4 linked regions of the Tamandua tetradactyla genome follow. The protein of the gene in region 1 purifies or fractionates together with the protein of each later gene. This does not show direct contact. Links are inferred from orthologs where the notes say so. Each region holds a gene or a part of one and is shown on either strand. Other genes may lie near its edges.

What was found.
Region 2: the proteins of CHUK (region 1) and MAP3K7 purify together in Homo sapiens (affinity purification with western blotting; 9 studies listed by BioGRID and IntAct, with this or other methods). This does not show direct contact. The link is inferred for Tamandua tetradactyla from reciprocal best matches to the Homo sapiens genes CHUK and MAP3K7.
Region 3: the proteins of CHUK (region 1) and RIPK1 purify together in Homo sapiens (affinity purification with western blotting; 3 studies listed by BioGRID, with this or other methods). This does not show direct contact. The link is inferred for Tamandua tetradactyla from reciprocal best matches to the Homo sapiens genes CHUK and RIPK1.
Region 4: the proteins of CHUK (region 1) and AKT1 purify together in Homo sapiens (affinity purification with western blotting; 5 studies listed by BioGRID). This does not show direct contact. The link is inferred for Tamandua tetradactyla from reciprocal best matches to the Homo sapiens genes CHUK and AKT1.

Annotation. Positions count from the first base shown.
Region 1 is NC_135339.1:61,763,857-61,771,289, forward strand, and holds the start of CHUK (inhibitor of nuclear factor kappa-B kinase subunit alpha), read right to left. Parts: upstream 3,077-7,433; 5' UTR 2,997-3,076; coding exon 2,892-2,996; intron 1-2,891. Other genes in the region: CWF19L1 (CWF19-like protein 1), read right to left, coding at 4,655-4,799, 6,896-6,993, 7,378-7,433.
Region 2 is NC_135331.1:147,859,809-147,867,146, reverse strand, and holds the start of MAP3K7 (mitogen-activated protein kinase kinase kinase 7), read left to right. Parts: upstream 1-4,244; 5' UTR 4,245-4,466; coding exon 4,467-4,586; exon of another isoform or gene 4,587-4,608; intron 4,609-7,338. UniProt on the Homo sapiens protein: Serine/threonine kinase which acts as an essential component of the MAP kinase signal transduction pathway. Plays an important role in the cascades of cellular responses evoked by changes in the environment.
Region 3 is NC_135351.1:4,962,380-4,970,448, forward strand, and holds the start of RIPK1 (receptor-interacting serine/threonine-protein kinase 1), read left to right. Parts: upstream 1-4,975; 5' UTR 4,976-5,086; intron 5,087-5,099; exon of another isoform or gene 5,100-5,223; intron 5,224-5,391; exon of another isoform or gene 5,392-5,567; intron 5,568-8,069. UniProt on the Homo sapiens protein: Serine-threonine kinase which is a key regulator of TNF-mediated apoptosis, necroptosis and inflammatory pathways.
Region 4 is NC_135340.1:87,905,090-87,913,038, reverse strand, and holds the start of AKT1 (RAC-alpha serine/threonine-protein kinase), read right to left. Parts: upstream 3,095-7,949; 5' UTR 3,021-3,094; intron 661-3,020; 5' UTR 570-660; coding exon 524-569; intron 1-523. UniProt on the Homo sapiens protein: AKT1 is one of 3 closely related serine/threonine-protein kinases (AKT1, AKT2 and AKT3) called the AKT kinase, and which regulate many processes including metabolism, proliferation, cell survival, growth and angiogenesis.

The sequences.
Region 1 (7,433 bases):
AGGAGAAGAAGATAGCAGATGATGCTGTGTTCACCATGTGTGTTTCCAGATGAGAGAGAAACTCTGTGTTCACCATGTGCCCTTCCACTTGAGAGAGAAACCCTGAACCTCATTGGCCTTCTTGAACCAAGGTATCTTTCCCTGGATGCCTTAGACTGGACATTTCTATAGACTTGTTTAAATTGGGACATTTTCTTGGCCTTAGAATTGTAAAATAGCAACTTATTAAATTCCCCTTTTTAAAAGCCATTCTGTTTCTGGTATATTGCATTCCGGCAGCTAGCAAGCTAGACCACCACCATAAACACAATCTGGTACAACCATGAACAATGTTAAACCCTAAATTCCAGTGAGAATGAGGCAGGAAGTAATCTGCTTCAAAAACGTCTCACCCCAGAAGATCTTTTAACTTCTTATGTCACTTACTCTGTGCAGGCCTTTCCCACTCAACCACTTCACAAAGAGTGTTTGGTGGGAAGTGTATAGATGTTCAGCAAAAATAAATAAATAAATAAAACAAAACCAGTTCTGTGTTCAAATACATTTGGAAAAGTTACTAAATAAAATTGGTTTCTTTACTACAGGATTTCTTAGAGCTCTTACTATGGTAACATGGGTTATGAATCTCCAAATGAAGGAATAGTATACGCAACATTTACCAAATGCATTTGGCCATCATATCCTTTTTGAAAGTATTTCATGGGATTAGTTTTCCCAAACACATTTTGAGACGTGCCACCCTCTTCCCCAGAAAGAATGCTTCAGTTACTATGGCCATGCTTCAATATCACTTTGCAAATACCTTTGTTATAGATTATCACATTGTATTTTAATTGTTTTCCTGCCTATCTCTTCCACTGGACCTGAGATGTTCTTGAGGGCAAGGAATACTGTTTTTGCAGATTTAGGTTTCACCAGCAACCAGTAATGTCATCAGCTAAATAATACATTTCACATTATTTTCTTTATTGTGCTTTAAAGGGTATAGATGAAATACTGGGTCATGGCTTCCACCAAACGTATGAATATCTCGAAAACTGTAAATGTAAACCCCAAGTCAGGTTTGGAAAAAGAATGATGCTGTTTCCAAGTCTTATGACAGAGTATTCCTTCTCTCCTCAATATATGCTCAGCTATCAAATGTCCTCATTTTGGGAAAAGGGTCTCTATGTACAACAGGAAATTTCTAAGATTTTAGAGGAACCCAAGTCTCTTCCATTTAAAAAGTGATAAGTTCATTCAGCCCCAAACAGAGACCAGGAGAAGCAGTCACAAAATCCTATCACCATATATGCTTCCTCTCTTATGATCGGTTGATGGGGAGGCTTAGATAACAAGACTATAGGCAACATTCCACTAAAAGCACTTTGGTTCTTTGTTTTGACTGTCTTAAGTACCGCCCCCCCCCCCACCTCCACACACACCTTCCCGGTGAGAATTACTAAACTTATTACTTCATTGGCTTCAAAGTACTTAATGCCTTAGGCTTTTACCTTCCATTTGCCCTCTTTCCAAGATTTCCTCCTATGCTCTATCTAGAAATCTGCTTCACAAAACTTCGTTCTGTTAGTGACATTTGTCACTCTGCCCCACAAACATGCCTACCGTCCCCCAGGTAGACTCCCATTTCCCCTTCTGCCTACCCACATTATGACCTCTACCCACTCCTATGTTCCTTAAAACAGCAAATCATAATTTCTTTTTTTTAATAACCTTATTCATTCACAGGCCAAATACAGGCATTTTAATATTTTCTAACTGTTCATCTTGCCCCATGTTTTTCCATTCAAATTCATTATTTACAAAATAATCTTCTTAGAACACCACTTTTACCTTACATTTCCATTTTTAAAACCAATTAATGAGGATGAAGATGATAACAGCAACAGTGATATAGCAGCAACAGCTAATATTTGCGAGCTTATCATGGGCCAGAAACAGTATACTTAGCTTTACATACATTATTATTTTATTTAACTCTCAAACAGACCCATGAAATATGTATATTATACCCATCTTACAGATGTCAAAACAAAGGCCACATTGCTGGAATTATTAACCCAAAGTCTATATACCTAAGAGGTCTGCTAATATGCTTCAGGAGACTGTAAGCCCCCTCAAATAGCAAATGCATAAGATACCCAAGGTCGTGTAGATATGCCTGTGCGTTTTTCTGGGGGTAAGGGTTCATAGCTTTTATTGGTATCTGAAAAGATACATGACTCAAACACGATTATTAACTGCTGCTACAATGGTTAAACATCTTCAATTAACTCAAAGTAAAATTCCTGGGTCCGATATTAGCTGTCCTCCACAAACTGAAATCCTTCCTCCCTCCCCAATCTTATTTCCTTCCCTTTGAAGTCATGATCATTTTCACCAGCTCGTCCTCACACAAGCAACCTGGAATGTATGTCCTATTCCAAAGCCTACCCATGCTTCCAAAGGCTTAACTCTTGGACCCACCATGAATCCTTCTCTGCTCCAGCCCCTACTAATATCCTTGGCCTCCAAGAACACACAGGTAAAAACACATTCCAACAGGCAGCCCCCATTCCTTTATCCCCGTTTTCTCATCCATTCGTGCTCACATACATTAACTCTGTACACCTGCTCCACACACCCTGACGCTCCACGTCTACAAAAAGATCTAAATATCTAAATACCTTGATACATACCAAAAATCCTCCCTAATAGCTCACTCTCACAATGACCCAGGACCACTCTCAACGTGTTCCTACAGACACAACTTCGGATTCACAAGCACGGTATCACACACACGCACGCTATGACCCACTGGCTCTCCAACACTGTCCAAGTCTCACATATATTGACAGTCACTGCGTTTCAGACAAACACCCACCACCGCACCCTCTCGCGCCCGGCCTCACCCGATGCTGGTATAGGCAGACGTTCCCGAAACCGCCGGTACCCAGGCGCTCCCGCATCTCCCAGGGCCCGCCCGCGCCCGGCCGCAGCCCTGGGGGCCGCTCCATGGGGCGGGAGGGGAAGCAACCTAACTTAACCGCTGCTCCCAGGCCGGTTCCGGGCCGCCGAGGGTCGCGCGTTTTTCTTCTCGCGAGATGTATGCGTCACTTCCGGGAACTGTCTCAGCAAAGCCCCGCCCCAAATTCTCCGGGTGCCGGCCAGAATCCTAGCGGTTAAAGGGTGGAGAAGCCAGGAAGACCTCCAAATCCACTCTTGGGAATGCTGTAATCATTTTTCTAACCTAGAGGATCCTGTGGGGTTTTTTTCCAGTCATGAAAATATAAGCTCTGTCCAGATTATACATTCCATTCAAACCATTCTCTTATATATTTTTCTTTTCCAAACTTCAGATTGCCTCCCGCCCTGTCTCACATCACCTTTTCTCAGGCTGCTCCATTTATCCTTCAACCCCACCGCCCACTGAACCGGCACTGGCAAAGGCCACCAGCTATTTAAATATTGAGGAATCTGAAGAAATCGAAAGAATCCTGCGCAAACAAGCACATTGATGCACTAGCCTTCATAGTTCACTCCCGTAAGCGTCCCGTTTGTCAGAGACCTGCAGAGCTCCAGTTTGTTTCATCTAGGCTTGTCGATTCTGGGCTCAAGTGTATGAGTCTCAGCTTATTCGTGAGTAAAATAGAGGTAATGATACCTACCTCTTGGAGGTTTCGTGAGCATTAAGTAAAATTTACTATCTGGATCATAAGTGCCCAATTATATAGGAACAATTACTTTTCTTTTGGCTTTCAAAATATGGCATTCCCCAGGGATCTCTGTGCTCCTTCTCTGTGCACTTGTTGGACCACTCTATCTCCAGGCTACTCCTTAAATATTAATTTCTCAGGTAGCCATCCTCAGCTTAGAATTTTCTTCACTCATTTTCATAATTTCATCAATGGCCTATATCTTTATGATCCCCAAATCCCTATCACCACCAATCTAGATGTCCATGAGTTTAGATCTACCCAACAACAGATGCCACATCTGTTAGATCTCTCAGGCATCTCAATCTCAACATAGCCAAAGCAGAATTCATCTTCTTTTCTTAAATCTGCCCCCTCCTCCTCCAATTAGATGTAAACTCTGAGACAACAGGGACCATGTTGGGACATGGCTATACTCCCGGAGCCTAAAAAATACCTGGCTCATAGGAGGAAATAATTGCTGAAGGACTGAATGAACTTTTGTACATCAAAATGAATGCTATGAGAAAAAATGTTAAGGATCTTAGATCTCTTCTGTACTCTGGCTTTCTCAAGGAGAGGCCACCCTGTGTGATTCTGAGATAACAACTACACCTAAAGCCTTGATACCTCCTATTACACACACCACCTCATTTCAGTAGTCACAAGTAACATGAACACAAAACACCTGTCAACAATGGAAAAGTTTATGAATTTTATTTGATGGTTTCAATGTTTTTGAAAATTTTGTTAAAACCAGGCTGTATTTGGAACTGGATGACAGACATACTTTTAATATAGGGTTTTCATGAATGTGACTTTTCCAAAATATATTCAGTCCTAGGCCTCTTACTGCAGGCAGGTTCCATAGGAATGCATGAAAAAGAGGGTGGGAAAAAGTCCCCATAGGTATATGTAGTTTCTTTAAAAACAGGCTGCTGCTACTATCTGTGAAGCTCATAAAAAATCTTTCCATTTGGTTAGTCATCCAGAGTGAAGTCAAAGGGCTCAAACTCTTTCCGGAAACAGCGAGCTAGGTTCTCCTCCTCTTCCCTGCTGATCTGACACTGCCTCCAGTCAGACTTGTCAGGAATATTAAGGATGGCTTCACTGGCCAGGACCTCCCTGAAGAAAGAATTAAAGTCAAAAGGACAGCATCAGCTGGAAATCCCCCTCCTCCCTCTGTTCCTCTCCAATCAGACAACTCCTCAGTGTTACCCAAAGAAGGTATGCAAATTCCTCTGCTTGTACCATTTTCCTGTTCTTAGTGCCATCTTTGCCATCCTATCAACATCATACCAACTTAAATGACCAGTTCAGGTCCCACCTGTTTCTTAATGCTCTGTACCCCACTAACTTCTTCCTCTATTGAACAATTTTGAATTATACTGTTAATACTTTGAGAAACAACATGACACAGTAGAAGGAGGGCAGACACTGGAGTCAGAAAGATCAGAGACTTGATTCCATTCCTAGCTCTGCCACCTGTGGTCTGTTACTTAGACAAATTACTCTATCTCTGAGTTTTTACCTCCTCACCTATGAAATGAGAATAATATCACCTACCTTACAGGGTTTTTATAAGGTGTAGGAATAACAGTCAAACCTCCACAATAGCTGTGACTACAAGTTAAACTCTAGTCTGTCATCCCAACTAGACCATAAGGGCCTAGTAAAGTGAGATACCAAGTGTCATACCCTCTCTGTCTTGAAATTCTTCTGCCTCTCCTTCCACAGAATTCAGGCCAACACAGGCAAAACTACACAAGCTCACTATCAACCAAACAACTTATCTTGACCCTCAGGACTGAAAGTTACTATATGCGGACACACTACACACAAGCTGCCTTCTAATGCCAGCGTTTTTATTTGTATTTATTTTTACTCACTTTGATATAGTAGAAATAACTCTATTTGTGCATTTATATGGCCAATATTCTACTCTGAAGCTACAATAAGTAGAAAAATTGAATTCAAATCACAGAATTCCTCTAAGTCAAAGAACTGGAGCTCAAGTTCTGTTTCCTTAGGCAAACCTCTGAGCTACTTCATCTGTTAAACAGAGAGAATATTGTCTTTATTGTATAGTTGGGAAAATGATATCTTTCTAAGTTATTTTCTTACCTATAAAATGCCACATAACTGTAAATTAGTACTCTGAAAAATACTAAATGTTGAAAATACAACCATCATGAGCACAAAACCATTTGGAAAATCTCCCTTTTGTGGGCTTTATGTGCCTGTGTGTCTGTGAATCATGAGCCTGCAAAGTCAGTGTCCACATCTTCTTGTTGCTGAGGTAAAAACAAAAAGATAATGTCTTTTTGAAAATGCAGACAATTACATTTACTAGACTTATTGAATAGTGGCAATCTCTTGGGCACATTCTACATCAGTTCAAAACTGGTTCAAGATTCACTTAAAGCCCAGTTCTAACTAGGGGTAAAAAACAGCTACAAATGAGACACCAGCTTTAGATAATCTGTTCTGCACATTTTCTATTCTCCTCTATCCTCTGTCTCTTCTTGCCAACGTCTCCGTCTTCAGTCTTGGCTTAATTTTTATCACCCTGTATGTGGTTTTTCAGTTACGTACTACCTAATATTAGGAGCAGAAATGAAGCCTCATCAAGATCTTTAGGACAATAGAGAATAATGATGTTAAGACCTCATGGTTTGGGGCAAGTCAGATGTTAACATGTGTGACAGTAATTAATGCAGAATGTGAAAATGTTTTAGGGAACAATGAAAAAGTTTTAGAAGACAATTTACTTTAGAAATTCAGGGACAATGCATGAAATTGAGACAATACATGTACAGTTCCTGGCACAGAACCTACACAGAGCATATGCTCAATTAATGGAGCAATTTTCTATGCCTGGCTGGAGTGTCCTCACCCAAATCTTTGTCCTCTAAATCTATCTCTCAGGTTCAACTTTAATCCTTTCATGAAGACTTCCATCAAGTACAAATGAGCTCTCTCTTCTCTAAATTTCTAAAGTACATTGTTCTCCAAAACTTTTTCATTGTTCCCCAAAACATTCTCATATTCTGCATTAATTACTGTCACACATGGTAACATCTGACTTGCCCTAAGTCTATATATTTCTTAGGGCAAGTACTATTCCTTATTTATCTTTGTGTTAATTGTCCATGCATCTCACTACATTGTTCATATTAGATCTAGTAAAATTACATTTAAAAGAAGAGAAGCAAACAAACCTTCCAAACTGTAAAGGAAAATTCTTTTTAATTCTGTGAAAAAGCTTCTCTCCTGTGTCAAGTTCAACATAAAAATATGCTGCTCCTGGCTGTGCAATCTAAAGTAAACAGAGTTGCATGAGTTATAGTATAAACTATAATTTAGCAAAAATTCAGTCTAAAAACCCACAAAAAAAGAAAAGATACAAGTAGTTTACAGATACCAAGTCACTTGGGGAACCAGATTTTAAAAAGCGAAATTGGTAGATATTACCAAGATCCTCCCCATGGCACACAGTCTCCTAAATACCCACCTTAGGAAATTTTTAATTACCTTCTCTTCCCCGAAAAGCACTAGGACTTGGCTGAAATGCCATCTGGATCTCTATTCTAATCAATACCCCATACTCTAATCACAAATTTTCACTTCCTACTTAACATTTTAGAATACTTTGACAGTACCTCAGGTTCAACATGTCAAAAACCTCCCCCTCCTGTTTCACCTGCTTGATGTCAGAGTGCTCTGGGATCTCCAACAGCTCTATCTGTTGCTCCTGCG
Region 2 (7,338 bases), on another chromosome or scaffold:
TACTGGGTGTACACTTCATTCTCTCAATCGGCCAGGCTTTATTAACTCAGTGAGAAATATGGCCATAAGCAACTCCCAGACTGCATGTCACAGTCACCAAACAGAACTGTTCACTAACAGCTCTGGTTAGAAAAATTCTGGGAAAAATTCTGCTGGGCCCACCTTAAATCGCATGACCATGCTTGGACTGTCTTTGTTTGCCAGGGTTGCTATAACAAATACCACAGACTGGTTGGCTTAAATAACAGGAATTTATTGTCTCACAGTTTTGGAGGCTAGAAATCTAAAATCAGGGTATTGGTAGACCATGCTTTTTCCAAAGTGTATAGTATTCTGGTGGTGGCTTGCTAATGATCCATAACTTATCTTTGTTTCCATCACATGGCAATCTATCTCTCTACTCCTATGTCCAAACTTCCTTTACTTATAAAGACTCCAGTAATATTGGATTCATGCTGATTCATTTTGGTTTCTCTTAATAGCATCTTCTAAGAGCCTATTTACAATGAGTTCATATTCAGAGGATGTGCAGTTAGGATATGAATATATCTTTGTGGGGAATATGATTCAATCCATAACATGGACTGATTCCAAGAGGCATGTGTATCAGGTACAATGATTGGTCCAACCTAATATATGGCGCCTATCACTGTCGACAGTGGGCTATGGTCTACTATCAGAAGCTAAGGAAAAGGTGCCAAGCAGACAAAGAGAAAAAAAAATCTCTCCAGATCAAGAACCTGATAGTTTTTCTAAATACTACTTGACTGCATGAGTGTTCTTATTCCTTTGCTAATATCTGAAAGCATTTTTATCTGAAACCATTTACAGATCCCACTGAATAACGGCACAAATAATAAGAAAAAACCATGTTTCCCCCTTTTGTTATTTTTCATCTATTGTCACTAAATAAAAGCTAAGGTGTCAAAATAAGTACAAACTCTCAAGAAGAAGATAAGAACTCTTTCCTTGGATAAAGATTCTCTAATATAGGATCTAATATAGGATTAGATTCTAATATAGAGGAAGGGATTTCGCTTTTATATTCTGGACCAAGAATAGAGACATCCAGGCCCAAGTTTCCATGTAGTTCATCTAGGCAATATAAAATTAACAAAAATTCACTGTTTGAGTCAAACTGATCTGTGCCTTCCTTTAAGTTACCTTAGAATCTTAAAAGAGGAACTTCTAAAACATGCATATGCCTGAGCCCCACATAAAACCAATTACGTGAGAATCTCTGGAGGTGAGCCACAAGGGATCTGTATTTTCAAAATTCCCCTGGGTAAATCCAGGGGAGAAAACACTGACATTTTGTATCACCCACCAAATACAATTCACCAACATAAAGTACAAAGAAAAAAATGAAGAAAAATTTATTCATAGAATTTTTTAAAGATGGCTTTTCAACTACATACATAACTTCTGTAATGTAGAATAAAACATAATAGATGGGCTTAATGAAAACACATGATAAAATTTAGTAACAAGGACTAGTGGGGAAAGAGGGGCTAGGGGAATTGACAGTTATTGGGCCTACTTGCCTGCTTAAGCAATCTGCAAGCCAATAGGACAAGGATTGATTTCAGACTAATATCAATATCAGAAGTTCAAGTCACCAGGTAAAATATAGAAGCAGATGTATCAGAGCAGCTGATCAAAATTATGCAATATACTCACTGTGAAACACATTCAACAGAAAACACGGATAGATGGATGGATGGATATATGATTACGCAATGTGGTAGTTAGGTTCAGGTATCAACTTGGTCAGGTGAAGGTGCCTAGTTCTGCTGCTGTGGATATGAGCCAATGGTACGTGAACCTCATCTGTTGCTCATTACATCTGTAGTTGGCTAGGAGGCCTGCCTGCTGCAATGAATGATGTTTGATTTAATTGGCTAGTGCTTAAATGAGACAGCTCAACATAGCACAGCCCAAGCAGCTCAGCATACCTCATCTCAGCACTCGCAGCTCAACCCAGGCCTTTGGAGATGCACAAAGAATAACCCCAGGGAAAGTTGCTGGAACCCAGAGGCCTGGAGAGAAGGCCAGCAGAGATCACCCTGTGCCTTCCCACGTAAGAAAGAACTTTAGGTGAAAGTTAGCTGCCTTTCCTCTGAAGAACTAACAAAATAAATCCCCTTTTATTTAAAGCCAATCCATCTCTGGTGTGTTGCATTCCAGCAGCTAGCAAACTAGAACAGGCAGGTACAGTAAAACGTTAATAGAATCTTGGTGGTGGGTATATAGATGTTCACTGTAAACTTCTTTCAACTTTTCAATATGTTTGAATTTTTCATAAAATATTGGAAAGAAAATCAAGAAGAACAGCATCGTTGCTGTAGTGATTAGTTGGTTGTCAGCAGGATACTTTCCTAAACAAAGGAGTAGAAAACAGATCTTGTATTCCAGAGAAAGGGAGGCCTGGCAAAAGCTATTCATTCATTCAGAAAACATAATAAACATTTCTTGAGTTCCCACTTTGTAGCATCAATTGATCAGAGTATCAAAGACAAATAAGATATGGACCTACAGACTGTCCTACAGACTAACAGCACAAGTAAGAGGCAGTCCTAGTTTGGTAATGCAAGGAGAGGAATGACAGGTAAGAAATGATCATCCCATTGATTTAATCTGCTTCTATTTGATTATTAGTGCACTATCATTTCACGTGTAGAAATGTTCTGTTATCTCACTTGGACAACTGAATGGATAAAACCCTTCCCTGAGATAGGAAATGCACAGGGAGGGACATACTTTTGGTGGAGGAGAAATTTTAAATTTGCTTCAGGCATCATAAAGTTTAGGTGTTTATGTAACCTCTAAGTAAATATGTCCAATAGGTCCAAAATTCAGGGAAAATCTGAGCATTAGAAAAAGAATGGAAACATATGGGAAAACAAGACCTTCTGTGAGAGCCTTCAGAGACTGCTTATAGTGAGAAGAAATTATTCTTTCATTTTTTTATCCATTCGTCCAACTATCATTGTCACTAGAACTAATAAAAAACGAATGTTTCCAGAAGTTCTTAACTTCCTGATTAGAATATCCCATGACCTATTTGCAATCACAAATGTTTTTTACTTCCTTGTGTACCCCATTTATTTGATTGACTACTCCTTAATTGAAATGCTCTCCTCACTTTCCCGATTCAGACTATTTCATAGCAATCTACTTTTCAGTCTCCTACTGAGACTTAGAATTTGACAACATACGCGTAGGGTTCCATCCGTGATTCTTCCACGCAGTGTCCATAAGTGAGTTGATTATTCAAACCCACTGCCTCAACCACCGTCTATATTTATTCTTAAGTCTTCATGTCCAAGTTCAGTTTTCCCACAGTTATGCTTCAGGTCAAACTGACTGAGGTTTAGCAGCTAATTTAAAACAAAATTGCGGTGGCAACACAACATAGGCAAAATCAACAGCCTTTGAGACACACTGGTCCAGGTTCTACTAGCTTGTGAGGACCAGTAATTGTTTTAACCCGAGTTTATTTTCTATACGTACTGAAAATGGCAACAAAAATCTTTAATTTGCAAGGCGATTACTGATTAAGTTAAATGTAAAGCATCTATGGTAGTGCTCTGCACTTGACGTGTTATTAATATAGTCTCTAACGAGGTGAACACAACAAATTATGTTAAAGTATCTACCTTATCTAACTAATCTCTGAAAATATTGTAAGAACAAAATATTGACTTGTTTGTGAACACTCGGCCTTTCAGAGTTTAAAGGAACAGCAACTGTTTCCTTTTATAAACACTGAGGAAAACAAATTCTACGAGGTTTCTTAAGAACACAGCTCAGTTTACCTTAGGGCTGAAACTGAAAAGTAAGGTTGCCACAAAAACTCAGTTCAATACTATCCCGACCTCTTTGCAAGCCGCTCAGACTAAACGGAGTGAGGTCATGACAAAGTTCACCAAAACAGAGGCAAAACCGTAGTTTTAATCTTTCCCGCTGCTTCTTAAAGGACCAACCACAACGACTTCAGTCGTGCTGCACGCCACTTCCGTTCGCGCATTTTAATTATGTCAGCGCAAGAGTTCTCGCGGTATCATCCCGTTGCTGGGTCCCTGTTAACGAAGATCTCGCGAAATTTGTTTTACAAGTTCAAGCAAGCCTTTCACCCTTATGCCCCACCCGCAACCTGTCCTTCCTTTTTCTTTCCCAGGCCCCAAATTCTCCCCTCCCCGCCTTCCAGCCGCAACCCTCCGCCTGTTTCCGATTTCAGACCGGAGCCGGAAGTGTGGTGGGCGGGGCCGGGTGGCGGAAAGCGCAGCCGACCCGGAGCTGGAGCCGGGACACGGCTGAGGCTGCGGCCCCTGCCCCCGCCACGGATCGCGGGGTGGCTGGGCTGCGCTGCGCGGCTCCAGGCTGAAGGCCAGTCCAGAGGCGGGTGGGCGCGGGCCTCCCCCGGAGTGTCCGGGCAGCAGCCTCCCCAGGCTTCGCGAGGGATCATGTCTACAGCCTCCGCCGCCTCCTCCTCCTCCTCGTCTTCGGCTGGTGAGATGATCGAAACCCCCTTCCAGGTCCTCAACTTTGAAGAGATCGACTACAAGGAGATCGAGGTAGAAGAGGTGAGCGAGGACCCGCAAAGAGGTACCGGCCCTGGGCGGTCCTCGCCTCTGCCTGGTCCCGGCTCTGAAGGCGCCTCCCCGACCTCTTGGATTCTGGGCGCCCCTCAGGGTCCGCCTTGGAGTCCCCACAACCTTGCAGATACCGGGTGTTGGGGGGACTCGCAGCGCTCACCTGCTCCGAGGTAGATTTCTTTTTTCCTCACTTCGGCATTCTTAAATTTGGATTTGATAATCCAGTGCCCGGATTTGGGTCACCTCAAGTAGAAGGGTGAACTGGTGAGATAGTGTGGTCCACCAGTTCTGGTTTCTCTAAGTAGTAAATTCAGAAAGACCGTGGCCGTTTGGGAGTTTCAGTTAGTCTAAAGGCCAAGGATTGTATGACGTTCAGCTTTCAAGCTCCGTACCTGGTAGGTAGTGGGCGCTCGGTAAATGTTAAATTAATAGCTCGCCGAGTCTAAATACATTGTCTTCCAGAGTACCGAATGGTTCTCAGTTTCGTCGATTCCGTAGAGTAGGACTCGTAATCTTAACAAATGTTCTGCCTTCAGTTAGGCTAGTTTAGATAAATTTCACCATTAGTCATAGGCTGGTCTGTTATGATGGAAGGATGTTTCAAGTAGCGTATCCTGAAGCGGTAACTAAAGATCGCGGTGACAACTAAAATGTAAGACCAGTCGGGAAACCACGGTTGGAAAATCCTAATCCGTTTCATATTCTATAAAAATTTTAGTTATTTTAGAAGATATTCCAGTTTGTCTTTAATACATTGCTTATTTTCAAGTTTACAGATGAGCGATTGGCGATAAGGACTATAAATTTAGAAAAGATAAAACAGTATGAATAGACATTTTAAAACATGTTAAAAACTTTGAATGAAAATGGCATCTATTAAAGTTACCAGTTTTTAAATTTTTTAGACACTTTGCATTACATATACGATGAAGAACACAGTATGTCTTACTGAAAACTTATAGACTCGAGAAAAGTTATCTCTAAAAATCTAAAATTTAGATTGCAGTGAGCTAAAAGTGTAATATAATTCACAGTCATCAAATAAATACATATTTTTCCTATTTGATTTTGGAAGAATATTGGATTATATTTTTGTTGCAAGGAGTAATCATGGAAATTATTGAGACCAGCCTTGTTTTTATTTTTCAAGGAAATATGCTAGGAAGAACAGGATCTTTGGAGTTAGAATAAGGTGCAGTATATCAAATATGCCACTTATTAGCTGCCTGGTTGGCAGCATAATTTCCTAACTAACCCCTTTGAATTGTAGTTTCCTTAACTGTAAAATAGAGATGTTAATTTCTATCTCACTTTGTATAACAGATCCTATTAGTCAATTAAACACTATGGCAAAATACCCAACACACTGCCTGAAACATTAGGAAACTGAGATTCAGAGAGGAACAGTGACCTGCTTAAAGGTCACATGGCTAAAAGAAGATCCATATCTTGAAAAAAAAAAAGGGAGGGGGAATTTTTTTGCATGTTTTCTTCTATTGAGGCTATGATAAATTCCTTTTTCAGAAGTGGTAGTTGATCCAGCTTTCATGACTAACATTCTTTCTTTTTTAAAAATAAAAATTCAGTGAGTCAGTATACAAGAATTGCAGTTTTTAAATAAGCCTTTACGTCTACCCTGTGGCAAACTGCTATGCTTGTAGACTACAAATTGTTATATAATAATAACTTGTACTTCATGGTCTACCAATGCTTTCACAGTCTTAACTTCATTTGATTTTTAGAACAACCTCAGTTTTGCACACTGTTTTCTAAAGCTTTTGCTTTCTTGCTTCATGGAGGAATTGGAGTTAGTAAGAAGACATTATCATTTTGCAGTTCTTCCCCCAAAGGTTTTCACTTTTGGTTAGGGTTCCATGTGTCCAATGACCCTTCTTTCAGTTTTCCCACATGTCCAATGACCCTTCTTTCAGTTTAAATAATGTTTAGAACTTCGTTTGGTGGATTTAGGATATTTGTTTTCATTTTCTAATACCCATTTTATTTTCACATTAAAGGTGAATTTGGATCTTTCTGCTATTGAAACCATGACACAATTTCATCAGGTTCTTCTTTTGCTTGCATCTTTGGCATACATTGTTATATAATCCATAGTGCACCATGGGCACTCATGGCTGTTTCTCAACTTAGATTTTGCTTTTAGGTTATAATCATGAATAACAGAGCAGAGAAAGATAACCAAAAACAATAAGTATTTTGGATTGCTTTCAATATTTTATACAGTACAGGTATATTACTTTTTAAGTAAAAAAAAGTCATATTCCATATTTCTCAAATAACAATATAACTGATTGACATTAAGTGAATGTAATTAGAAACTGTGTAATATATGCTTCAATCATAGGCCAGATACACATTTTGTAGAAACAGATTTCTAAGATCATCAGCTGATTTTAATCCTTAAATTCCTAATACTGTGATTAGGAACACTTGGGCACTTCTTAAACCTAATTCTGGTAACAAAATTATATATATCAGCCTCAGAAATCTACGTAGGTACTTGTAGTCATTTAGATTTTAACATTCTGGATCTGGGTATAGAGAATGTTAGAATAAATTGTGAGGTATGTATATTGTAGACTAGGTTGCATAATATGGTAAAGGCAGTGTGGTGTAGTGAAAAGTATACTGGTCTGGATATTTAGAAAGTGTAGGGGCTGTGCTGATTTTGCCACAATATATTTTTGTAACTTTGAGCAAGTCACATTGTATTCAGGGCCCT
Region 3 (8,069 bases), on another chromosome or scaffold:
CACTCTATTCGATTCCATTGGTCGATATATCTATCTTTATGCCAATACCATGCTGTTTTGACCACTGTGGCTTCATAATATGCCTTAAAGTTTGGCAGCGCAAGACCTCCAGCTTCGTTTTTTTTCCTCAAGATGTTTTTAGCAATTCGGGGCACCCTGCCCTTCCAGATAAATTTGCTTATTGGTTTTTCTATTTCTGAAAAATAAGTTGTTGGGATTTTGATTGGTATTGCATTGAATCTGTAAATCAATTTAGGTAGGATTGACATCTTAACTATATTTAGTCTTCCAATCCATGAACACGGTATGCCCTTCCATCTGTTTAGGTCTTCTGTGATTTCTTTTAGCAGTTTTTTGTAGTTTTCTTTGTATAGGTCTTTTGTCTCTTTAGTTAAATTTATTCCTAGGTATTTTATTCTTTTAGTTGCAATTGTAAATGGGATTCGTTTCTTGATTTCCCCCTCTGCTTGTTCATTGCTAGTGTATAGAAATGCTACAGATTTTTGAATGTTGATCTTGTAACCTGCTACTTTGCTGTACTCATTTATTAGCTCTAGTAGTTTTGTTGTGGATTTTTCCGGGTTTTCGACGTATAGTATCATATCGTCTGCAAACAGAGATAGTTTTACTTCTTCCTTTCCAATTTTGATGCCTTGTATTTCTTTTTCTTGTCTAATTGCTCTGGCTAGAACCTCGAACACAATGTTGAATAATAGTGGTGATAGTGGACATCCTTGTCTTGTTCCTGATCTTAGGGGGAACGTTTTCAATTTTTCCCCATTAAGGATGATATTAGCTGTGGGTTTTTCATATATTCCCTCTATCATTTTAAGGAAGTTCCCTTGTATTCCTATCCTTTGAAGTGTTTTCAACAGGAAAGGATGTTGAATCTTGTCAAATGCCTTCTCTGCATCAATTGAGATGATCATGTGATTTTTCTGCTTTAATTTGTTGATATGGTGTATTACATTAATTGATTTTCTTATGTTGAACCATCCTTGCATACCTGGGATGAATCCTACTTGGTCATGATGAATAATTCTTTTAATGTGTTGTTGGATACGATTTGCTAGAATTTTATTGAGGATTTTTGCATCAATATTCATTAGAGAGATCGGCCTGTAGTTTTCTTTTCTTGTAATATCTTTGCCTGGTTTTGGTATGAGGGTAATGTTGGCTTCATAGAATGAGTTAGGTAGTTTTCCCTCCACTTCGATTTTTTTGAAGAGTTTGAGGAGAGTTGGTACTAATTCTTTCTGGAATGTTTGATAGAATTCACATGTGAAGCCGTCTGGTCCTGGACTTTTCTTTTTAGGAAGCTTTTGAATGACTGCTTCGATTTCTTTACTTGTGATTGGTTTGTTGAGATCATCTATCTCTTCTTGAGTCAGAGTTGGTTGTTCATGTCTTTCCAGGAACCCGTCCATTTCCTCTAAATTGTTGTATTTATTAGCGTAAAGTTATTCATAGTATCCTGTTATTACCTCCTTTATTTTTGTGAGGTCAGTAGTTATGTCTCCTCTTCCATTTCTGATCTTATTTATTTGCATCCTTTCTCTTCTTCTTTTTGTCAATCTTGCTAAGGGCCCATCAATCTTATTGATTTTCTCATAGAACCAACTTCTGGCCTTATTGATTTTCTCTATTGTTTTCATGTTTTCAATTTCATTTATTTGTGCTCTAATCTTTGTTATTTCTTTCCTTTTGCTTGCTTTGGGGTTAGCTTGCTGTTCTTTCTCCAGTTCTTCCAAATGGATAGTTAATTCCTGAATTTTTGCCTTTTCTTCTTTTCTGATATAGGCATTTAGAGCAATAAATTTCCCTCTTAGCACTGCCTTTGCTGCGTCCCATAAGTTTTGATATGTTGTGTTTTCATTTTCATTCGCCTCGAGGTATTTGCTAATTTCTCTAGCAATTTCTTCTTTGACCCACTCGTTGTTTAGGAGTGTGTTGTTGAGCCTCCACGTATTTGTGAATTTTCTGGCACTCTGCCTATTATTGATTTCCAACATCATTCCTTTATGGTCCGAGAAAGTGTTGTGTAAGATTTCAATCTTTTTAAATTTGTTAAGACTTGCTTTGTGACCCAGCATATGGTCTATTTTTGAGAATGATCCATGAGCACTTGAGAAAAAGGTGTATCCTGCTGTTGTGGGATGTAATGTCCTATAAATGTCTATTAAGTCTAGTTCATTTATAGTAATATTCAGATTCTCTATTTCTTTGTTGATCTTCTGTCTAGATGTTCTGTCCCTTGATGAGAGTGGTGAGTTGAAGTCTCCAACTATTATAGTATATGAGTCTATTTCCCTTTTCAGTGTTTGCAGTGTATTCCTCACGTATTTTGGGGCATTCTGGTTTGGTGCGTAAATATTTATGATTGTTATGTCTTCTTGTTTAATTGTTCCTTTTATTAGTATATAGTGTCCTTCTTTGTCTCTTTTAACTGCTTTACATTTGAAGTCTAATTTGTTGGATATTAGTATAGCCACTCCTGCTCTTTTCTGGTTGTTATTTGCATGAAATATCTTTTCCCAACCTTTCACTTTCAACCTATGTTTATCTTTGGGTCTAAGATGTGTTTCCTGTAGACAGCATATAGAAGGATCCTGTTTTTTAATCCATTCTGCCAATCTATGTCTTTTGATTGGGGAATTCAGTCCATTGACATTTAGTGTTATTACTGTTTGGATAATATTTTCCTCTAACATTTTGCCTTTTGTATTATATATATCATATCTGATTTTCCTTCTTTCTACACTCTTTTCCATATCTCTCTCTTCTGTCTTTTTGTATCTGACTCTAATGCTCCCTTTAGTATTTCTTGCAGAGCTGGTCTCTTGGTCACGAATTCTTTCAGTGACTTTTTGTCTGAGAATGTTTTAATTTCTCCCTCATTTTTGAAGGATAATTTTGCTGGATATAGGAGTCTTGGTTGGCAGTTTTTCTCTTTTAGTATTTTAAATATATCATCCCACTGTCTTCTAGCTTCCATGGTTTCTGCTGAGAAATCTACACATAGTCTTATTGGGTTTCCCTTGTATGTGATGGATTGTTTTTCTCTTGCTGCTTTCAAGATCCTCTCTTTCTCATTGACCTCTGACATTCTAACTAGTAAGTGTCTTGGAGAACGCCTATTTGGGTCTAATCTCTTTGGGGTGCGCTGCACTTCTTGGATCTGTAATTTTAGGTCTTTCATAAGAGTTGGGAAATTTTCAGTGATAATTTCTTCCATTAGTTTTTCTCCTCCTTTCCCCTTCTCTTCTCCTTCTGGGACACCCACAACACATATATTTGTGCGGTTCATATTGTCCTTGAGTTCCCTGATACCCTGTTCAAATTTCTCCATTCTTTTCCCTATAGTTTCTGTTTCTTTTTGGAATTCAGATGTTCCATCCTCCAAATCACTAATTCTATCTTCTGTCTCTTTAAATCTATCATTGTAACTATCCATTATTTTTTCTATGTTTGCTACTTTATCCTTCACTTCCATAAGTTCTGCGATTTGTTTTTTCAGTTTTTCTATTTCTTCTTTATGTTCAGCCCATGTCCTCTTCATGTCCTCCCTCAATTTATCGATTTCATTTTTGAAGAGGTTTTCCATTTCTGTTCGTATATTCAGGATTAGTTGTCTCAGCTCTTGTGTCTCATTTGAGCTATTGGTTTGTTCCTTTGACTGGGCCATATTCTCAATCTTTTGAGCATGGACAGTTATCTTCTGCTGCTGGCGTCTGGGCATTTATTCAGATTTCTCTGGGTGTTGGACCCAGCAAGGTTGTAAGATTTTTCTGTGAAATCTCTGGGATCTGTTTTTCTTATCTTGCCCAGTACGTGGCGCACGTGGCACACGTTTGTCTCAAGTGTTTGGAATGGGTCTCCCCCAGTCACCGATCTCCGTGGCCTGGGGCTTTCGGATCCAAATCTCTCCGTTGGTTCAGGGGCCGCGCGTGGTGGGGGCATCAGCTGCCGCAGCTTGAGGGGACCCTGTGGCTGGTTGCGGGCCGCAGCGGGCCTGGGGGATTCCCCACCGGACCAGGAAGCCTCCCGTGGGGGGGGGGCTTCCGCGGCTTGGATAGCCCTCCTATCTGAGACTCGTATCCGCGGACTCAAAGCAGAGACTCGAAGCCGCCCGCAAAAGAGGGGTGCCACCTGCCTCGGCTTGGGAAACTTGCTTCTCCAATACTCTCAGCCGGCCCGGAAAGGGGGGAGGGAGTAGCTCGGACCACCGCAGCTGCCGCTGATCGGGAGATCGCACGCCGCTCGGGGGTCTCACTGCAGCCGAGTCTCGCAGTCAGTCTAACCAGCCCAGACTTTGGATAGCCCTCTGATCCGGGACTCGTAGCCGCGGACTTAAAGCCAGGACTCGAAGCCGCCTGCAAAAGAAGGGCGCCGCCTGCCTCGGCTTGGGGAACTTACTTCTCGGATACTCTCAGCCGGCCCGGGAAGGAGGGAGGGATTAGCTCGGACCGCCGCAGCTGCGGCCGCTCAGGGGTCTCGCCGCAGCCACGTCTCACAATCAGACTTGCCAGCCCAGACTTTGGATAGCCCTCTGATCCGAGACTTGTAGTCACGGACTCAAAGCCGCCCGCAAAAGTGTCGCGCCGGCCGCCTTGGCTGGGAAGCTTGTCTCTCCGAGTCTCTCAGCCAGCCCGGAAGGAGGGAGGGATTAGCTCGGACCGCCGCCGCTGCGGCCGCTCGGGGGTCTCGCTGCAGCAAGACTCGGAATCAGATTTGCCAGCCCAGACTTTGGATAGCCCTCTGATCCGAGACTTGTAGTCGCGGACTCGAAGCCGCCCGCAAAAGTGTGGCGCCGGCCGCCTTGGCTGGGAAGCTTGTCTCCCGTATTTCCTTTTTCTTTTTTTTTTTTTTTTTTTTTTTTTTTTTTTTTTGCTTTAGACCTCCCAAGCTCCATTTTATAAGGCTGTAGAAGAGACACCTCATTAACTCCCCTACAGAGTGGATTTCGCTGCCCCACTTACCGGATGCAGAGTGCTGGCCAGCGCGCGCCAAGTTTCTGGCACTGGGCGGCGTAGCCCGGCATTCCCCTGCGCCCGCCTCCTCCCGCGGGGGTGGGCCCCAGGATCTGGTAAGTCTTTTGGTCTTTGTACCCGCTATAAAAGGCAGGATAAACGCGATCCTCTGACAGAAGCTCTGGCCTCCTGAAGTGAAAGGGAGAAGGCTGCTCGCCGGAGTTTGTATCTGGGAGATCTGACAAGGGCCGAGGTAAAGCCCACGGGCGGTGGAAGGGCACTTGGGCTTCGCGAAGTTTCTTGGACACCCGCCCCACTCCCGCCGCCCCAGCACCCACGGATCACGGCGAGCCGGGCGACGGGGGCGAGCGCCTGGCTTCCGGGGTACAAGCTCCTGGAGGAGGGGCAGGAGGTGGGGCAGCAGCTGTCCACGCCCTTCGTGGTTTATCGATCTCCTGTCACGAAGAGCCGAGCTGGGCGCGGGGCGCGGCGGGGCTGGCGGGACTGAGGACGCTGGATGCTGCGGACCCCGTGAACTGCCGTGGACGGCGGGGCCAAGGGAGCTGGACGCTGTGGACTGCCGGGCTGAGCGCGGGGGTGAGCGGGTTTGGTGGGCGCGGAGCTGTGCGGGGCCAGGGCGCGGGGCGGCCGGCGCCAGGCTGCCCTCCCCTGGGCTCTGTCTTCTTACACTTCTTGCCCGGGGGACCCTTCGGTCGGGGTTTTCTGCCTTAGTCCCGGCGGGGCAGGGCCTGCGAGCCACGGAAGCGAAAGTCAGCCTGAGCGCGGAGCGTCTGCGCCGAGGCCGCGCCCCCGGGGCCGCGCGCGGCGCCTCTAGGAAAGGCCGAGCTTCCGCTTCCAGCGCGCCGCCGGCCGCCCAGGCTGGACGCCGCTGTCCCGAGCCAGGATGTGGCGGAACGGGCACAGCCCCGTCGCTGCTGCAGTTGTCGTTGGGGGAGTGATTACTTTTTATTTGCATTGCAGTATCGTTAAGGAAAAGCGGGGCCTGGTGTGGCCCCGGGAGGGCGACAGCGATTACCAGGCTGGGCAGGGCTGTTTTCTGTGCACTTGGGGCGGTTGCGGCGACACTCAGAATCTGTCCCTTCTTAGAAGCATGTTTCCACGGGAGCCGGCCTGTGTTGCGGGGAGTATAGGTACCCCCTATATGAATGTAGGGGGTAGCAAACTTTCTTAGGACTCAGTGTTAGAGAGTAATTAAAGAAGGTTCACTAACATATTACCATCTGTTATCATAACTCATTTCAACTTACAGTGTGATGGCGTCCATTTATAATGGAATTTGTTCATTATTTTGCATAAAATGGCTATGAATTTTGGCACTTGGAAGCAAGTTTGCTCTATTGAAATGAACAGGAAATTCCAAGAAAATTCACAAATTACCTCTAAGGCAGGGCAAGTCTGTATACCAAAATATTCATATTAACTTTCACTAGTAAGTCTGTTTTTAAATAGACTTACTTAATACTTTCCCCATTTTCCAAAGATGACCATACATAAGAATGTGATGGACACTTCTGGTCACCTACCCAACTGCCATTGCAGCAGTTGCGGTCCCCCGGCTACAGCGACAAAAGGGCGACAGGAGCCGGGGACATTTGCATTTAAGAAGCACAACAGGGTTCGGGACAGCACAAGCTGAACTGTGCTCTCCTAGCCACTAGATAGGAAGCCACAGGAGCCGGTTGTTCGTATCCTCGTCCTTTACTCATTGCTTGCCTCCACCTTGGCTCAGAACTCTTTTTATCTTGGGCAGCCACGGGGCGGTTATCATCCAAGTAGCTGGGAGAAGTCCTTCGTGTTGACATGACTCTTCATCCTTGCTGCATCAGGCTTCATCCCTGATTTACCCATGGAGAAACCAAGGCACCGAGTGAAGTTTGATGTACAGCGTGATTTCATACTCTGCATTTGGTAACTACTGGCGAGGTCATGATAAGAAAAATTGTAGTCAGTTTAGAAATGTGGGAGACGGTAGTTCTTCAGTAACCAAGAAGTGAAGACTGGTCTTGTTTAAAATGAAATCTGGAATGTATCGTCACTATCAAGACTGATAATCATAATGATTACCTTTAACTTTTATTTTCCTCTATGCTGTATTGAGCCCCAGGGATACATTGTATTTTCGGGATTATGAATATTAAGAAAAATTCCCCAAATATCAACTTTCTAACTGCTATTTGATGTCTATTAATCCATCACATGTTAATACCACTAGCATGATCTGGGAATTTGGAAACAGTAGGTAGTTTTCTAGGCCTTGGCTGGATGTTATATTCTGGTAAAAATGATTGACTGTATTAACCTGTAGAATATTAATTTTAAACCACATATTTCTGTGTGATTTTAAAATTTAGGCCATATGTGCCTCATGCTTCCTCCCGTAGCATACTCGTTTAATACAGGTGAGCAAGGCTATCAGATTGGGTCTTTGCATCTGGAGTTTTCCAAGGACTTATTATTGTTTGTAACCCAGAGAAGTGGCATGTGTTACCTGACAGAGCGTGGAAGTTTGAGTGAAGGGATACAGGCAGTCCTAGAATCTGCCACTTTGGTCAAATCATTTAACTACAAATCTCAATTTCCTCTTTTGTAAATTGAGAAAGATGATAGTCAGACCTACTTGCCCAGGGTTGTAATGGAATAATGTATATGGTGATGCTTTCTTAAGCTGGATTGCACTCCCATTGTGTCTTCCTGCTCATTTGTCTTAACCTTAACCAAGTTCTTGCTTACCTGGGTCAAAGCCCAAGGCTGCCATCACAGAACCTGTGAGAAGTACTTTGGTCACATTGGGATGCATGAGTAAGTCAGGATTCTGTTAGCAAGGAAGGGGGTGGGCAATGGCAGTTGGGTAGGTGACCAGAAGTGTCCATCACATTCTTATGTGTGGTCATCTTTGGAAAATGGGGAAAGTATTAAGTAAGTCTATTTAAAAATAGACTTACTAGTGAAAGTTAATATGAATATTTTGGTATACAGACTTGCCCTGCCTTAGAGGTAATTTGTGAATTTTCTTGGAATTTCCTGTTCATTTCAATAGAGCAAACTTGCTTCCAAGTGCCAAAATTCATAGCCATTTTA
Region 4 (7,949 bases), on another chromosome or scaffold:
TTGGTGGGCCCCTTGGGTCCAGGTGGGTAAAGAGAAGGGCAACTGGGTGGGAGCCTGGCTTCAATGCAAACATGCCCCGCACCCGGGTCCCAGGGTTGCTGCGGCTGCCCACCGCCAGCTCAGACCCAAGGCAGGCACCGGGCCAAGCCAAGCAGCCCTGCCTGCCCTCAGGAGCCCTTGGGCCGTGCCCCAGGCTGCAGTGTGCCAGGCCTTGGAACGCCTCACTGTCCTCGCTGCCTTCCAGGAAAGCCGGGCGGGAGGCTGGCAGCCGCTCCTCCAACCCACCCACCCACACCAGCTAGGCGGCCTCTCTGCTGGCCAGTCTGTAGGCTGAGCCTTGGCCCCTCAGTCCCTCAAACCAGGCGCCCCTCGAGGCTGTGACCCCAACGCCACGAGGGGATGTGGGGCCCTAGATGCTCACCCCAGCCAGGCCAGAAGCCTCAGAAGGCAGCCCGCCTGGTGGCTCCGCTCAGGCTTGCAGACCCAGGAGCCCCCCGCGGCGTCCGCGCCCGCATGCACTGACCTCGCTTGTGGAGCCAGCCCTCCTTCACGATGGCTACGTCACTCATGGTGCCCAGCTCTGCAGCCGCTGTGGCCAGACGTCACCCTCAGGCTCCTTCTAGGACCAGGTCTCCAGAGCCCAGCAGGCCTGCCCTCACGCTGGGGGAAGCAGAGAGTGGGTGAGGGTATGTCCTGCATTCAGGCCAGCCCCTCTGTCCCTGCAACCACATCCTGCGCCCAGCTCACCTCAGGGTCCCAGCTTCGGCACAGCCTTCCAGCTCTTCCCCTCCACTTTCTCTCTCCCCAAAGCCCTGCTCCAGCCTCATGTTCCCCTCTGACCCTGCCCCCTGCCCCCTGGGCTGGGCACTCCTGGCCTGAGCTTCAAGCCCCTTTAGCTTCCCTCCCCCAACCCCCAGACTTCGGGTCCTCAGCCACGCCCCTGTGGGCCTTGCCCATCCCCTCCTTCCCTGGTCCCCGTCCCCAGAGGACCCTCCCAGCCCATCCCAGCCTCCCGAACCTGCCAGCCCCAGCGTCCAGGCTGCCCCAGCCTGCCTCCCCAACGCCTTGGCCACGGGTGCCCGTTAGTTCTCCTTGCCCGGGCTGCTTCTACCCGGAGGCTGGGAATCCCGGCCCAGGCTGGGGCACCGCCGCCCTGAGCCCCAGACTGGGGAAGGAGAGAAGCTCAAACATGAAGAGGACTGAGTTGGGAGCACAGGCAGCTGGAGCAAATGAGAGCCCAGAGTTGTCCAGGGCGGCGTGAAAAACCTCGCCACGGAAACCCCCAGGCCCCTCCTAAACCACAGCCCCTGCCAGTCTGAATCTGGTTCATTCATTCGGCCCATGTGTGCCAGGCAACTCTGGTTTTGCCAGGTCCAGTGCTGGGACTGAAGGACAAACAGAGGTTCAGACTGGTCCTGTCAGTGAGGGGCACCCAGTCCAGGATGGTTACAGACCCATAATCACAGCATTCAGAGGCAACAAAAGGGGAGGGGGGCACAGTACAAACGGCAGAGCACTGGCGCCTGCCCCACGGCAGCCCACCAGCCAGCTCTCACTCAAGCAGACACGCTGGCCATGGATTTTGCGTGGCCTTCTCCACCACTCCCCTGCTGGATGGACTCCTAGGCATCCCTCAAAACCCAGATTCCATGTCACCGGCTCTGGGCATTCTGGGAAAGAGCACTTGGCATGCTCTTCCTCTGGGCAGTCCTCTGCTACCCCTCTAGATGGGCACTCCTGAGGGCAGGCTTGGAAGAAACTCTCCCCTGGGACCCATCTAAAGCAGCAGGGAGGGCCACAGCCCATCTCCAACACCAGACCCCCAAGAGGGCCGGGCCCAACACACTTGGCAGGCCATGGGCAGTGAGACTGTAGGACACTGGTACCAAGAAAAGTGCTCTGAGTCACAGCACAGTGAGCACAGAGGGTGCTCTGCTGAGATTTGAGGGGTACTGCCCAGAGGCAGGGGACTGGACTCACCTCCCAATACCCCCAACCCCAGCCCCAGGCTGTAGGACTCCAGCAGACATGCTCCAGGACTGGTACCGACGGAGCTGGGCAGCTGCCGAGAGCCCACCAGCCCCTGTGCGTGCACTCAGGGTGGCATGTGCACAGCTGTACAAGCTAGGCAGCCGCAGGGCAGCAGAACACCCCAACTTCCCGGGCATTATGGCTGTCACAGCTTTCCTCTTACACTCCAGGCTCTGTCACAGCCACCTTCCTCTGCCCTGAGACACAGTGGAAATGGGTGTTCAGCTGGGGGGCAGGAACGAAGCTCCCTTAGAGAAGAGCAGCTCCTTCTGGAGCAAGCTGGGAGCCCAGGAGTGAATGTGGGGGCCACTTCGGGCCCCTGCGTCTGCCCACCAGGACAGTATTCAGGACCGTTCTGGCTGGGGAGAGTCATCGACTGCCCCAGGACCCCTCAGTCTAGGTCAAAGCCACAGTGTCCTCCAGGCTCCAGCATCAGCGATGGGTAGGCAGCACCCCCAGAGCCCACTACAGCAGGAAGCAGTTGGGGGCCCTGGAGGAAAGGCCCCAGCCACGGGAAGGGAACTGGCATGGGGATGGGGGGTAGCAGTATCCCTGGTGGGCTAGCCTGGGCATCGGGCCACCGGCTACAACTTCGGGGCTGGGGGGAAATGAGGTCTCGTCCCCACTGGCAAACTTGAACGCGGGCTCGATCCAAGCTTTCTCCTCACGCTGCCCCAGTACCGCCGGGACCCGCCTTGCCGGCCAGGCGTCCCGCTGGTGCCACGGCCCCCCAGGCCCCCAGGCAGCGCCCGGCCCCGGCTCCAGGCTGCCCCGCAGAGCCGCCCCCCAAGGTCACGGGGGAGAGGCAGGCCGGCGGGGCCCGCAGCCCCGGCCGCCCGCGCCCTCCCCGCGCCCTCCCGCCCGGCGCCGCTCGGCCACTTCCTGCTCGGGGCCTCCATTCCGGCTGCGCCGCGGCCCGCGCCCGCCCGGGAACAAAGCGCCCGGCCCGCGCGGGACATCCGGGCCCCGCCCGCGCCGAGGGGACTCACCGGGTGCCGCGTCCAGCGAGCGCGGGCCTAGCCGGGCCGGAGCCTCCGGCGCCCGCCGCTCCGCATCCCCGGCCGCGCTCGGGCCCGGCGCTTGGCGGTGCGGGCGGGGAGGCCGCGGCGGGCGGGCGGGGGGCGCGCTGCCTCGGGCCGGGCCTCGCCGCCGCCGCCGCCGCCGCCCGGGCCTCGGTGCTCGCCGCCGGCTCCGGCCGCTCGGGGCTGCGCTGGCTGCGCTGGGCCGGCCGCCCCCGCCTCGCTCCTCCCGCCGCGGCCTCCCCGCCCTCCGCCCGCCTCCCGCCGCCCGCCGCCCGCCTCCCGCCTCCCGGAGCCGCCCGCCCACATCCGCCTCCGCCGCCCCCGCCGGCCCCAGGGAGGGCGGCAGCGCCCGGTGGGCACCCGGCTGGCCCCGCCGCGGGGACCGCACAGCCGGGCCACAAGCCGCAGACTCTCCAACCTCAGTTTCCCCGTTTGTAATGCCAAAGCTGCTCTGACCCTGTGAGGACAGGCAGGCAGAGAGTAGTCTCACTTTCATTCTGTGCCTGCTCCAGGCAGGGTGCTGGGGGCCTGGGGGCCAGAGGCCAAGTGGAGGGGGCCCTCCAAAGCTGGCATGCAGTTCCTACAGCCAGGGGCTGAACCCCTTCATCTAGAACTGAAGGGCCCTGGGAGGGGAGCCCTGGTCCCCTAGAGAAGGGCTGGAAGCAAAGGGGGCTTAGGAAGGGGGCTGCATTCTCCCCCACACACCTCCTGGCCGTGCCTGGATCGGAGCTGGGTGCAGATAGCCAGAGGGACTGGGGTCCTGGGTGTTTTGGGGTTGGGGGCTACAGCAGACTCAAGAGTAGACTCCTGAGACAGTGCAGGACCCTGCTGAGCCCCAGGGGGGCTCCAGGCATCCCAAGTCCACTGAAGGGCAACTGGGGGCTGGCCGGAGGCAGGGACTCCAAGTGGGATTCTGAGGGTGGGAGTGAAGCCCCCTCTACCTGCAGGGCACTGAGGGTAGTGGCCAGCCCCAATACCTCCCTGAGCTGAAGTCTCTCCAACAGTTGACCAACACCCCCCACCCCCACACACACACACACCCCGAGCCTCTGGGCTGGTGATAATCTTTGGTAAAAGGAGGGCTCCAGCTGAGTCACCCAATGAGGTTGGTAAGTATTTGGGGATGGGTGCGGGTCATTTTTGTTTTTCATCTGGGGTCAGAGTTCAGTTGGTGGGGATGGGGGGTGAGGTGAGGCAGGCAGTCTGGGCCAGAGGCTCACCGTGGACCAGCTTCCGGGGCTCTGGCCTTGCCTCTGGGGGCTAACTACGGAGGGACTGGGGCAGGCAGGGAACATCCTCTGGGTCCTGGAGTCTCATCTGACACCTATGCTCACTTCCACTCCCCCATCCCCTCTCCCCAGCACAGCTGGCCCAGCTCCGGCTGTGTAGGCCCAGGAGGGGCCATCTAGGTCAGAGGTCAGGTCAGAGGTCAAGTCAGAGGTCAGGTCAGAAGCTGGGCCCGTCTCTGCCCTGAGGCTTGCCCCCCACAGCCTGGGTGTCCTGCTTCTGTGTCTTCTATCCCTTACTCACTGGTCGCACCTGTCCACTGCTCTCCAGTTCCAAGGAGGCTCTTCCTCGTCCCCTCCTGCAGTACACTAGATGCCCCCCCCCCACCGCCCCATCCTTGCCGGTTGGGGGAAAAAAGCTGAGGGGTCAGCCGGGAGGCTGGGGACAGGGGCCTGGGGATGGGAGGCTGAGTGGCCACTCGCGGGCCTGGAGGGCGCCCTCTCATGGCAGAGACTGTGACTGCCCAGGCCACCTTCCCTGCCTGCCTGGGAAATGGCATCCGGGCCAGAGGTTTCACTGTTGGTTTCACTGGCCAACTTGCTCATTGCTCTCCCTGAACCCTGTACCCATCAAGCCTCACACCCATCCCTTCTGGCCTCCCAGAGAAAAGGCAGACGCCCCTCCTCAAAGACACCCCTCTGCCCTGCCCCTCCCCAGACTGTCATAAGGAGAGGGTCCACATTGCTGGGACCACCAGAGCCCTCCTTGGCCAGGTGTTTTCAACAAAAACTGCTGCCTACTCCCCCACCCCATCCCGAGGGCGGTGCATGGGTCTCCTGCCCTGTCGCCTCCCGCAGCTGCTGCCCGCTGCCCTGGGACAGGACTACATATTCTTGGCAGCAGCTGCAGGGCGGGGCCTCAGGGCAGCCCCCAGGCCAGATGGTGGCCTGCGGACACGTTTAGGGAGGCTCTGCTCACACTGGCCCATGCTGGTGGCTCTGCCACTGCTTCCACACTGGTCTGGAGAAGGGGTCCCCCAAGGTTCACAGACCACGTGGCCTTGGACGGCCCTTCCTTCAGGCTTGGGAGGCAGACCCCACCCCCATCCCCAGGAGTGCCCGCCGCCCAGGCCCATGGCCAGGCTCCTGCGGCAGCTTCCAGACCTGTCGATTCCGCTCCGCTCCACATCCACAACCCCTGCCAAGCCTGGGTCCCCTTGTCCCTTTTCTGTGCCCCAGGGCCTCTTCAGCTGCATCAAGGAGTTGTCAGCCGGGGCCCCAACGTGGCCTCCCAGCCTCTTAGGGCCCAGGGCCTGGGGGTACAGCTCCTGATGGCTGGGCTGCCATGGAGGGCAGCAGGACACACAGACACCAGTAACAGAAAGCACCACTGTACATCCACTCAGCAGGTATTGGTGAGACCCACTAGTACCGGGCCGACTTTTTAAGCACCAAGGATGCGACAGTGAACAAAATCCAGGCCCTTCCTTCCACAGGGAGATGGGGGGCAGGGCAGGGGAGAGAAGAAAGAGCAAGGACTGACAGATACTGTGACGCACTAGAAGGCGGAGGCCCATGAGCGGAAGGTGGGGAGACGCAGGCTGGGGAGAGCGGCTGCAGAGTTAAGGAAAAGTCATTCTCCCAAGGGGACATATGAGCAGAGCCCGGGAGGGGCATTCTGGAACCTCTTGAACAAAGACCACCCTTGCTCCCGTTTCACGGATTAGGAGATTAAGGCCCGGCAGGGTTAAGGGTCGCAGCCCAGGCTGGGAAGGGGTCAGAGGCAGACCTCAGGGGCACCTGTGCTCAGAATTCCTGGAACTCAGCTATTCCTGTGGGGTGGAGGTGGGGGGTAATCATTCAGATGGAAGGGGGAGAGCTGGGCTCCCCACCCGGACAGAACCAGGGCTCTGCTGTCCCTCAGCTGGCTGCAAAGGGAGTGGTTCCAGGGGCCCAAGCTGCAGCTGCCAGATTTAACAAACAGAAACCCAGGGTGCCTGGTGGAATTTGAATTTGGATAAACCACAAATTACTTTTCATTGCAGTTTGTGACCTTCCCTCCCTAAAGATGGTGGGATCTATTAGCTAGGCAGGCCCCAAGACCTCCAAGTGCCCCAGGACCCCCAAGTACCAGGCCCCTGAGTAGCCCCCTGCACACCTCCCCTCTCCCTCCTCCTGGCACCCCTTCCTCCAGGGTCAGGGAAGGGTGCTTGCAGGCTGCACTCCTCCTGTCTCTTCCTCTCCCCACCCCCCTCCTGTCCTTGGAAATCAAGTCCTCCTCCAGCCCTGTTCTCAACACAAGTCCAGGGCCTGCCTGGGGACTGCACCAGCCCCAGGGGCCACCCAAGCACTCCCATCGGCCTCCATATGTGGCTCCCCAGGGGTGGGGTTCAGGATCAGACTGGGGGGATTGGCCCCAATTCACAAGGCCAGCGGCCCTGTGCACCTTACCTACCCTACCGGCCCAAACGGGAATGACACGAATAACCAGCTCCGCGGATGCGCTTAGCTGGTGTCTTCGAATCCGCCACGCCTTGCCGCGGGAAATGGTCGCGGAGGGCCGTGCACCCTTACACCCCACAGTGGGACCCCAGCCTCTCCAAACTCCTCTCCCCGCAGAACTAGGTGTTCCCTCCCACGCCTTGGCGCTGCCCCTTCCACCCCGGCCGCCCTGCCCCTGGGGAACAAATCCCGCGGGGCCGCCTGTCTCTCCCAGGACGCTGGTGCTTCCGCCCTGGGCTCTCGAGGCACCTCGGTCTCCCGCCCTCACTGCGTTTTCCCGCGTCCCGCCGCGTCTGCTGCGGCTGGTGCTTTCCCCGTGCCTCTCGGACAAAACCTGGCGCACCTGGCACCCAGTAGACTTTCGGTTAGGGTTTGCTGAGAGGGTGGGTGCCCCCTGTCCTGGACCTCAAGGTCGAGATCCCGCTTGAGTGTTTGGACGCTTCAGACCAAGGGACGTCATCTTTTCAAAATTTAAGAAGCCGCCGCCCCCTCTCGGATCCCAGGGCCGGCGCCCTGCGTGGTGGCGGGAGACCGGGGCCCGGGTGGCTGCGCCCTTGAGTGACCGTCCCGATGCGCAGAGGCGGTGGGGCGGGCTCTCAGGGGTGGGAGTGGGGTTCCTCTAAAGACGGGTGCAGTCGGGACCCCCGGGAACACCGAGGCGGAGGCGGCAAGTATCGCGAGAGGGTCCCCCAACACACCGCACCCCGCACCCGGCCCCCTGCCGCGGGCCCCAGCTGGCGGCGAGAGGGGACCAGGCCGGGTGGGAACGCGGTGGGGCGAGGCGGCCAAGGAAGGGGCGGCCAGGATGACCTCAGCGGTTCCGTCGCTCCGGGAAGTCGCCTCGACCCGCCCCCTCCAGCCCCCGCCCGAGTTTCGCTCTCTCCCGGGCGGGGCGAGTGGCGGGCGGGGCCCAGCCGGCCAAGTTGGAGCGCGTCCCGCACCCACCCTCCCCGCTACCCGAGCGCCCTCCCCGCCCCTCCCGCACCCTCCCCGCTTCCTGAGCGCCCTCCCCGCCGCGGCGCGCTGCCCGCAGTTCCTTGCGGGACCCACGGGGCGGGCGCGCGGCGGCCGGAGAAAAACTTGGGGCGGTGGAGGTGAGCGCAGGGGGCGGGCGCCAGGCTCTGCCCCGCCTGCCGGGCCGGCTCCCGGGCCGCGCTGCCATAAATGG